Linked DNA regions of Arabidopsis thaliana. The protein of the gene in region 1 interacts with the protein of each later gene in a pairwise test. Each region holds a gene or a part of one and is shown on either strand. Other genes may lie near its edges.

The links.
Region 2: the proteins of AT5G44500 (region 1) and AT5G62290 interact in a two-hybrid assay, tested with the Arabidopsis thaliana proteins (one large-scale study listed by BioGRID).

What each region holds. Positions count from the first base shown.
Region 1 is NC_003076.8:17,925,515-17,930,440, forward strand, and holds AT5G44500 (Small nuclear ribonucleoprotein family protein), read left to right. Parts: upstream 1-1,932; 5' UTR 1,933-1,990; coding exon 1,991-2,755; 3' UTR 2,756-2,759; exon of another isoform or gene 2,760-3,638; 3' UTR 3,639-4,158; coding exon of another isoform or gene 4,159-4,278; 3' UTR 4,279-4,321; downstream 4,322-4,926. Other genes in the region: AT5G44490 (FBD, F-box, Skp2-like and Leucine Rich Repeat domains containing protein), read left to right, coding at 1-57, 250-329; AT5G44495 (ECA1 gametogenesis related family protein), read right to left, coding at 837-1,196; TAO1 (target of AVRB operation1), read right to left, coding at 4,159-4,261, 4,428-4,450, 4,768-4,815.
Region 2 is NC_003076.8:25,017,337-25,021,819, reverse strand, and holds AT5G62290 (nucleotide-sensitive chloride conductance regulator (ICln) family protein), read right to left. Parts: upstream 2,646-4,483; 5' UTR 2,253-2,645; coding exon 2,086-2,252; intron 2,009-2,085; coding exon 1,885-2,008; intron 1,653-1,884; coding exon 1,544-1,652; intron 1,435-1,543; coding exon 1,375-1,434; intron 1,283-1,374; coding exon 1,217-1,282; intron 1,111-1,216; coding exon 1,019-1,110; intron 920-1,018; coding exon 848-919; 3' UTR 689-847; downstream 1-688. Other genes in the region: AT5G62300 (Ribosomal protein S10p/S20e family protein), read left to right, coding at 1-80, 290-432; AT5G62280 (DUF1442 family protein (DUF1442)), read right to left, coding at 3,835-4,483. UniProt on the Arabidopsis thaliana protein: May participate in cellular volume control by activation of a swelling-induced chloride conductance pathway.

The DNA.
Region 1 (4,926 bases):
ATCTCCTTGCATTACCGAGGCGATCTAGCATGTGTCAAATCATATCTGTTGTTGACGGTTATAAAGACTTTTAGGCAGCTCTTTGATAAGACCAAAACTAGCATTTTTAGATATTTGGACTTGGATTTTGATTTTTGTTGGAACTACATTTTGATGTTATGAGTGAAATTTTTATTTAAAGTAAAAGGTGACTAATAATTTGGAAGATTCAAAGATTGTGATTCTGCCTCAAGTGGTTTGGTTCTCCAGCCGGGTCTTGCGGTGGGGAAAATGAGAGGTGTAGTTTGGCAGCGGATGACGCCTATCTGTTAGAACCATCTGGGAGGTAATCTATGAGTAGGGCTGTCATTTGGTCATGACCATGTCCATATGGCCGTCCGAGCGGACACTCTCTTTCTGTTGGCTTTGATGTTGCTATTGCAGCCATCTAGGTGTAACAAGCCAATGCATTCTTTTGTGAGCGCATTGGCCGATTAGATTAGCATCGATCAACATAGGTTTTTTCATAATATTTAGTATTGAATTTTTTATATGAGAGGTCACTGGTTAGTGCATAGCTCCTTCGTAAATCATTTATAGGAATCAAAAACAACCAAGATATGAGATGTGAAAAACATACTAATCCAAATGTGCAATTTAGTTAAAAATGTTATAGACAACTGTTAAGTAAAAATGAGGAAAAAGTGACCAGTTATTAATGATGTTATTATATCGTTGAAAAATTTTGATACAAATCGGAAACCTAATCGTATTTTCCAACTTAAACAAAGTAAAAGAAAAAAAAAAGAAAAAAAAGAAAGCAAAGGTTAACATTATTGGTTTCTAAGTTCTAATTTTTAGTAGGAGGCTCCGCCAACAGTTTTTGAACATTGTTCCTTTAGCATAGGAGGAAAAAACGGATTGAACGGAAGTTGCGGAATACAATTGGTTTCGGCTTCCAAAATTGCTTTGCAACAAGCTGAACCTATCTTGCCGAACTTTTCTAAGAGTATGGATTGCGAAAACTCTACGATGCACCCTGGAATATTTATCACAGATGATAAACATTTTGTTATATCAGGTAATCCTGGTACACCGGGACTCGGTAGAAATGGAAATGGAAAAGGAAAAAGTGCCGGAAATTGTGGTAATTGGGCATTTACAGACAATGCAATGCATAAAACCGCTAGAAATAAGATCACGTTTTTTATAGCCATAATAAAAAAAAAAAATGTTTGAAATATTCCAATATATAATTCTTTCTCGTGTTTGTTGTTGAGTGATAAACAATACTAAGATCAAATTTATTTATAGGGGAAGAAATGAACTATGGTGGTACTAATTGAATTTGTCTTTATGAAACGTTTTTCAAATCTTTATTAGGTAATTTAATAACAGGCAGTTTCTTATTTTGATTGAGTGAGCAGTTTCTAAAATTAAAAGATAGTCCACAGCCACACACCTCTATGAGAAATATTTATTACTTTACTATCGATGAGAGGAGATGATATATGTATAACCGAAATAATTCAGAGTTTAATCCAATAAATCCAGTTAATATTAATCCTTCGGTGTTGGTAGATCTTTTGTTCGTTTCTCCCTTTTTTTTTATTCTACAGCAAAAATGGTCTCTTGAATCTAAAGACAATACTCTATGTACAATATCTCGGAGATTCAACGATTTAATAAAAGTTTAAAGAGAATAATAATAATTTTTTCGCTCTTAGACAAAAAGAAATCATTAAAGTTTTTTCAATGAATAATAATAAATTTACAAAACTATACTATATAAATTAATTTGACAAATGGTGAAAAAAAAAAAAAGGCAATACACCTATGTTATGTATAGCCTAACCCATTCTAACTAGGCCCAAATTGAAACAAAGCCCAACAAGAAGGAAAGTGTCATTCATTCTTTCTCGAATAAAACCGTAGAAATTCCCCCTCTTCCCCAATTCCACTGCCAAAACTCTTCGCTTAATTCTCCGGCGTATACAAGTCGCCGGCAAAAATGTCGATGTCGAAGAGCTCCAAGATGCTTCAGTTCATAAACTACAGGATGCGAGTAACAATCCAAGACGGAAGACAGCTAATCGGAAAATTCATGGCGTTCGATCGCCACATGAATCTTGTTCTTGGCGACTGCGAAGAGTTTCGAAAACTTCCTCCGGCGAAAGGTAATAAGAAGACGAACGAAGAAAGAGAAGAGCGTCGTACGCTTGGTTTGGTTTTACTTAGAGGAGAAGAAGTGATTTCGATGACTGTCGAAGGTCCACCGCCACCTGAAGAATCTCGCGCCAAATCTGGATCTGTAACCGCTGTGGCTGGTCCCGGAATCGGTCGTGCTGCTGGACGTGGAGTACCTACTGGTCCATTGGTTCAAGCTCAGCCTGGTTTATCTGGTCCTGTTCGTGGAATTGGTGGACCTGCTCCTGGAATGATGCAGCCTCAGATCTCTAGACCACCACAGATTATTCGTCCTCCGGGACAAATGCCACCACAGCCTCCTTTTGCTGGTCAAGGAGGTCCTCCTCCACCTTATGGTATGAGACCACCGTATCCTGGTCCACCACCGCCTCAGTATGGTGGACAGCAAAGGCCAATGATGATTCCTCCACCTGGTGGTATGATGAGAGGACCTCCTCCACCTCATGGTATGCAAGGACCGCCTCCTTCTCGCCCTGGAATGCCTCCCCCCGGTGGTGCTCCGATGTTTGCTCCGCCTCATCCTGGCATGCCACCTGCTCCGCCAAATCACCATAATCAGCAACATTGATTAGGTAGCTGTTTATCAAGTTTTGGAACACTACTTGATTATCCTTTATTATCTGCTGATGGTTGCTTGTAAGTGTAGCTTGGCTATGATGTGAGATTTGGTTGAAATTGAACTTATTTTGATTTAGCTTGGACTTGTGTAGTGACTGAAGTTTATAAATCATAAGTTAGCTGCAGTCTCTACTAGTCTGCTGATAGTTTATTTGTGAAACCTTTAACTTACACAAAAACTTTCTTGTAACTTGAACTGATAACTTACACAGAAATTCTACTTAATTAGCCTTTATAATTTATCAGCAATTTCTAGTCTGCTTGGCCATGTGTGATTTGTGTGGAATTGAACTTGTCTTGATTAGCTTGGGCATGTGTTGTGAGTAGTAGTCTGCTCATGACTGTCTTAGCTTGCACAGTTTCTAGGTTGTTGATGAGTGCTTTGTTGTCAGTTGCTTTTCTTCTTATGTTTCCTTAAGAGTATGATCACTTTAAAAGGTTTGTTACTATAAAGCATTCTAGAATCATCACATTGTGAATCCTGTAACTTACACTCAGAAACTCTCTTGCCTGTTGTTCTAATGAGTTTGAAAAACCCTTATTACACTTTTAGAAGCATGAATAACTCATGATGAACTTCTCAGTTCACTTTTAAACGTGTTTAATATCTTCCCAACTAGTAGAACCTTTATGATCCTTGTTTAAGGTTTGTTCGTGAATTTTGTTTTGGAAAGCTGTAGATGTTGTAGGGTTCATTAGCTATATTGGAAGAACTTGTGGATACATCTTTTTGCCCTTGCTCTCTGTTGGCATATGATATTGGATGATTTTTTTTTTTTAATATCTCTGTTAGAAAGATCTGCTAAGTACAATTTTCTCGATCTGGATTGTAGGAGTCACTTCATCTACAACGAAAGCAACATCCACATGATTGAGTTACCCCTCGGCTAGTCGTAGCGTTTTTCTCCGTGAAGCTCAGAGAATTGATGAGTTCATATTGGTGATTTCTCGTGGAAAAAGCAACTGATTTTAGAAATAGTGAACTTGTAGGAGTTACAACCTTGCTCCATGAACTTGAATGTATTACTTGTAAAAGAGGCTCTCAATGGTTTTGACTGGCAATTCGGTTCTCAACATATATTAGGCTATGTTGCTGGTTATGTACGTAACAAATATCTTACGGTAGTCTTACACTGGATCAGACACCCACCCTCCTAAACATGCAACTAAACATGCAAATCCCGATCGCTTGATCTAAAACTTCCGTAGAAGCTAACCGTTTTTTTTTAATAATGAGTCCTTGTTCAACAACCCCACCGATCGTATCCAGGCCTTTGACCACATTATCTACGTAATTTTAAATAATCAAACATCGAGCGATGTGCGAGTTTACTATGCTGAAGGGAAAAGCTTTTACTGATTGATGCTTGGCATTGGAGTTTTGAGTATAGCATCAAGAATGTTCTGACCATTGCTAATGACTATAGGAAAATCCCTCCAAAAGGGCTTGCAACTCCTACAAACGAAACGAGTCTTCACACAATCAATAGAACCAAAACCCCGATAAATAATTTGTGAAAGAACCAGTTTCTCTTCCCTGCATTGCTTGAGTACAAATCATCTGTCTTCCCAGTCACGATAAACTAAATAAGAGTGCAAGTGAAAATGAAGAAGTCACTTACGGGGATTTTGACTCGTACTGGTCCTGCAATTTAGATTTACAAGATCCTTTATTTCGATATGGTTCTGCAGACAATATCATTGTTAATAGAGGTTTAATTGTAAGATATGCTAATAGAGAGACCAAGGATTAAAGAAGATAAAGAAGACCAGAGGTTGGCAACAAGATCAAAATGCACTCGAGGAATGAAGTAATATGCGTATACAAACATATACAAATACTTTTCATACAATGTTAGCTTCGCTGTAATATCTACATATAAACACATAGATGTATACTGTGACTTAATTGATAAATTATACATATTACCAACATCACATATATAGTAATGATAATCATACTAAGTGACACCACACAACATGCACACCAAACTTGTCAAATCGACCCAACTTTAAAAGAAAATGTTTCATCATATAGCATTAATGTATTTCAGCTCTTGTCATGCCCTAACTTCAGTCTAGTGTTTGTCTCAAATCTCAAAGACTGCAAAATAACAGCCT
Region 2 (4,483 bases), 7.1 Mb from region 1:
GAGACTGAGAGTTAAGGGTCCAGTCAGAATGCCCACCAAGGTTCTCAAGATCACTACCCGTAAAGCTCCTTGTGGTGAAGGTATGATGATTATGCTCATCTCATCTTTTATATTGCCTTCAGAATCACTAGAGCTTGTTGTTGGAACCACTCCCTTAGTTCATTTGCTCTATTAAACCTAGGATTTAGGTCTTAGAATTTGTGATTGTGCTCAATACTGTTTTATACTCTGTCACTGCAAGTGTCTTCACATTTGCTGAAACTCTCTTAACTATTGGTATTGTAAACAGGAACCAACACATGGGACAGATTCGAGCTTAGGGTACACAAGCGAGTTATAGATCTTTTCAGCTCTCCTGATGTGGTCAAGCAGATCACCTCCATCACCATTGAACCTGGTGTTGAAGTTGAGGTCACCATCGCTGACTCGTAGATCAACCCTTCTGTGGCTTTGGTATCTCTTTTCAAATTCTCTTAAGAAACAATCTTCTTTTCCCGTAACGACATTCCTTTTGAGTTAAAAAAAAAACAAATGTTTTGTTGTAGTGAAACCCAAGTTCTTATGTTTTCTTAATTTAATAGATTTTGAATTTTTTAATTAGAAGTTCGTCCTTTATTCTTAACTTGAGATCTTTTGACCCTCTCGATGACATAACTCTGTATGAAGTTACCAACTTGCTATCTCATTTCAAATTGAGAGATCTATTACGAGAAAGATTAAAGTTTAATCAGCCATAAATTGAAAAGCTAAGTATCACGAACATAATACTTTATCGTTGAACATAATACAACTCTTTCATCGTTAAAATAACACAACTACTATGTTTTCGAGTACAATTGTGAAGAGTCTAGTGATCTTTGGTCTCACTTTCATGAACCATCTCTTCAGCATCCTCAAACCTCTGATCATTGATTTGGAGCTGCAGTGTGAATACAAAAGGCAGATGAAACCACGCTCAATTTTTTAAAAACAAAAAAAGAGGAAAAATTGAAAGCAGAGTTTTGTAACTTTGTATTACCTCAAGCATAGGCTGATTAAGACCTTCATCTCCATTGGAATGACCAATTACACTAGTCGGACTCTGAGATATTTGCCACTCTGCATCATCATCTGTTGCAAACACATAGAAAACCATCACATTTCATTCGTACCATTCAAGATGAATACATTAACACACTCTTTAATTCGGTCTAAGTCATATGAAAACATTAATTACCTCCTCCACGAACATCCATCTGATCAGCACTAAACACCCAATTATGTCCGCTTTCTTCTTCTTCTTCTGAAAGATGCAATGAAACCAAAGATATAAATGGCTAGGTAACCAAAAAATGCAATTAGTGATACTATTAAACCAGTAATTATATGTTTTACCTTGAACTGGTTCAGGATTCAGCTCAGCACACTCGCAGAATACATCAAACAGCGTCTCCACTTTCATATGACAAGACAAAACGATATATCAGCTTAATAATATCCAAGACTCTTATATAATGAAACAGCCGATTCTAATAGCTCTAAAGATTGCTACATAACAACTCACACTGGGTAGAGTCAGAAGGAACAAGCCTCATCTCTCTGATCTTTGATAAGTCCAAAACTTCAGTGGATTCTGAATCAGACTCATCATCCTCATCTTCTTCAACTTCAATCTTCAAAACATTAAACCAAAAACTTAGCAAAATGAGAACAGAAAAGACTTAATCACACCTCTCAAATCCAATTAAAACGTGTAAGCCACTTTCTCAAATTCCAGCAAGCACTTGCAACAAGCAACATTACAGTACAGGCCTAAGAACTAATCACAATCAACGAGAACAACACTAATTCCCTTTTAAGCTACCAAGTCTAACAAAACCCAGAAAAATTGCAAGAGTTGAATACCTGAGTATATATACAAGGAGATGAATAAGCCTCAGGATCTCTAGAAACAGCGTGAAGCGATATTGATAAGAAATCAACTGCGTATCCTTTAGCCATGTCTACATCGCTCAGCCAAATTAATTTCCTGAAATCAAATCACAAAATTAAGCTAAGACATTTATCTCAATCGAGAAGGACTAGATTTTGAGTTAATTTTTGTACCTGGAAGTGATGTAGAGAGTTCCGGGAGACTCAATGGGACGGTTTCCGAGAGCGACGGCGACGGAAGTCTGAACGTGCATAAGTTCCTCGCCGTTAGATTCATCCAGTACCGGTTTCCCGGAGCCATCTTCGGTTCTGAGCGTGAAATCTCTTAGACCAGCCACCATTTTTTCCGATCACAAAGAAAGAATCGTCAAAAAAAACAGAGATTTTCAGGCAGGGTTTTTCTTAGGGTTTCTCAGAGGAATGATTTGTTACGTTTACTGATGAAGAACACTACAAGGCTTTTGACAAAATGGGCTTCGTTAAAAAAGCCCATACTACATTAAAACATAAGCCCACTAAACTATTGAGATCAGATAAGTCTCTCTGGTGGTCCATTTCCCTTGAACCTTTTTTGTTACTTTGTGTGAATGTAATGTTTGGTTGTTGATTAATGTTGTTTCGAATAAATTTTGTTATGTAAATATATTTATGGGTGAAAAATGTCGTTGTCTTTGAGAGTGATGAGGTGTGGGAGATGATGGATAAGGAAGAGATGGGGGTGGTCATTCATGGGGATAGGGGAAGGTTATGGGACATATAGAGATTGTGACAATGCTTTATATTAATGAACGGATCATTGTCAACAACGACTCTTCTCTTCAAATTGTTATCTATTTTCTTAACGGAGATGTCGGTTGATAAAAATAATATACATTCATTACGAGTTGTCTACTTCGAAGAAGGAGTTTATTTGGTGCCTCCCAGCTATGTGCACAAGCCTAGTTGAATTCAATGACTTATAAGTTTAGGTCGATGAGAATTTGGATCATATATCTAAAAGTACTGTAGAAGATTATGTTTTACCTTTGGGCATAGATTTGATTCAATGAGAAATGGAACGACCAAAAGTCGAAAGAATCGGACCAAAGTAAAACCATTCCTTAGAGATGATGAACTTCATTATATAGTGAATTCCAAGACAATGATTAACAAAATCACATAAGAATTAATTAGATTTTGGTAGTTCATCTTCAATATAAGAACTACGTTAATTTTTCGTCTTTACGGATTTCACTATATATTAATCTTCTTGGTTTTATAATAAAGGTAACGGTGATGAAAAAAAGAAGAAGATCTTTTTAAAATACAATTTTAAGGCAAACGAATACATGTCTGAAGACCCTATATACTATTACTAATATCTGTTTGACGTGCTTGTCGGTTTTAAATAGTGTCAACAAAAAAAATTAGACTCAACAACTCAATAATATACGTTTTTTTTTGTCAATTCTCAATAATATACGTCTACATCTATTTTGAGAATCTGTATAAGACAGCTAAATACATATGCTTACTTTAATGTTTCATTATATTAGTTTCAGATGCCATCTCTCATGCATGCATGTGCATTTTTTGAATATCTTATTTGCTAAACATCCAAAATCTGAAGAATAACAATGCGTGTACATATGCTCAAGAAAAGACAAAAAAAAAAAAAAAAAAAATCCAAAATCAGAGAGAAGTTTAAACCAAAACACATCATTTCATATTTACACTTACAAAAAAAGTCATTTACTCGAAAAACATAGACTTTTTCACTCTTCTCACCACACAAAATACTCCAAAGCCAATCAAAACTCTCTTAATATAATTACTTATACAAAATAACTAATCATCTTCTTAATTACTACTTTCACTCGTCTGAACCATCACAGAGGTGATCATCTTTGCTCTAACGTACCCAATAATCTATAAGATTTGAATTTAAGCTTCAATAATGGCTTCTCCTCGGGGAACCCTAACCCTAAACACATGTTCCTCTCCAGTGCACTTATCAACCTTCACCACCCAACGACTCTTCCTCATCACTTGGTCACGATGGTGATTTTTCATCATCATCTTCTGATTATCATTGACCCTCGTCACAAGTAACCCTTCTCCTATAGGTAAAAACTGCGTTTTCCTTCCATCGCTAAACCTCCATGACCCTCTCGAAAACGCGTTATAACCCACCACAACCGCCACACCGCTTCCACCCCCGGTTCTTGCGTTTTCTTCGTGATGATTAAGGATTTTTCCAACGATCTCTTGGTGGTTTTCGAGGTTACAATCCACGAGGACGAAATCTGCTTCTCCGAAATGATTATTGATTAGAGTGTCGTCGTTAGATTCTCCGACTACGAATTGTATCTGATGAATCTCTGATGGTTCCAACATTTTTTGGGATATGATTAGTTCTTCGATACCACGTAAAACGCATACAACTTGACCACGCGTTTGGTTAGCCGCTGCGATTAGTGCAACGAGTATGTCGGCGTTTGCTGCTCCGGCGCAAGCCACGGCTATCTTTCTAGCGCTATTTCCGGCGGCTAGGGCTGATATGAATTCGGCGACGTTTGGTTCTTTTGTCCTT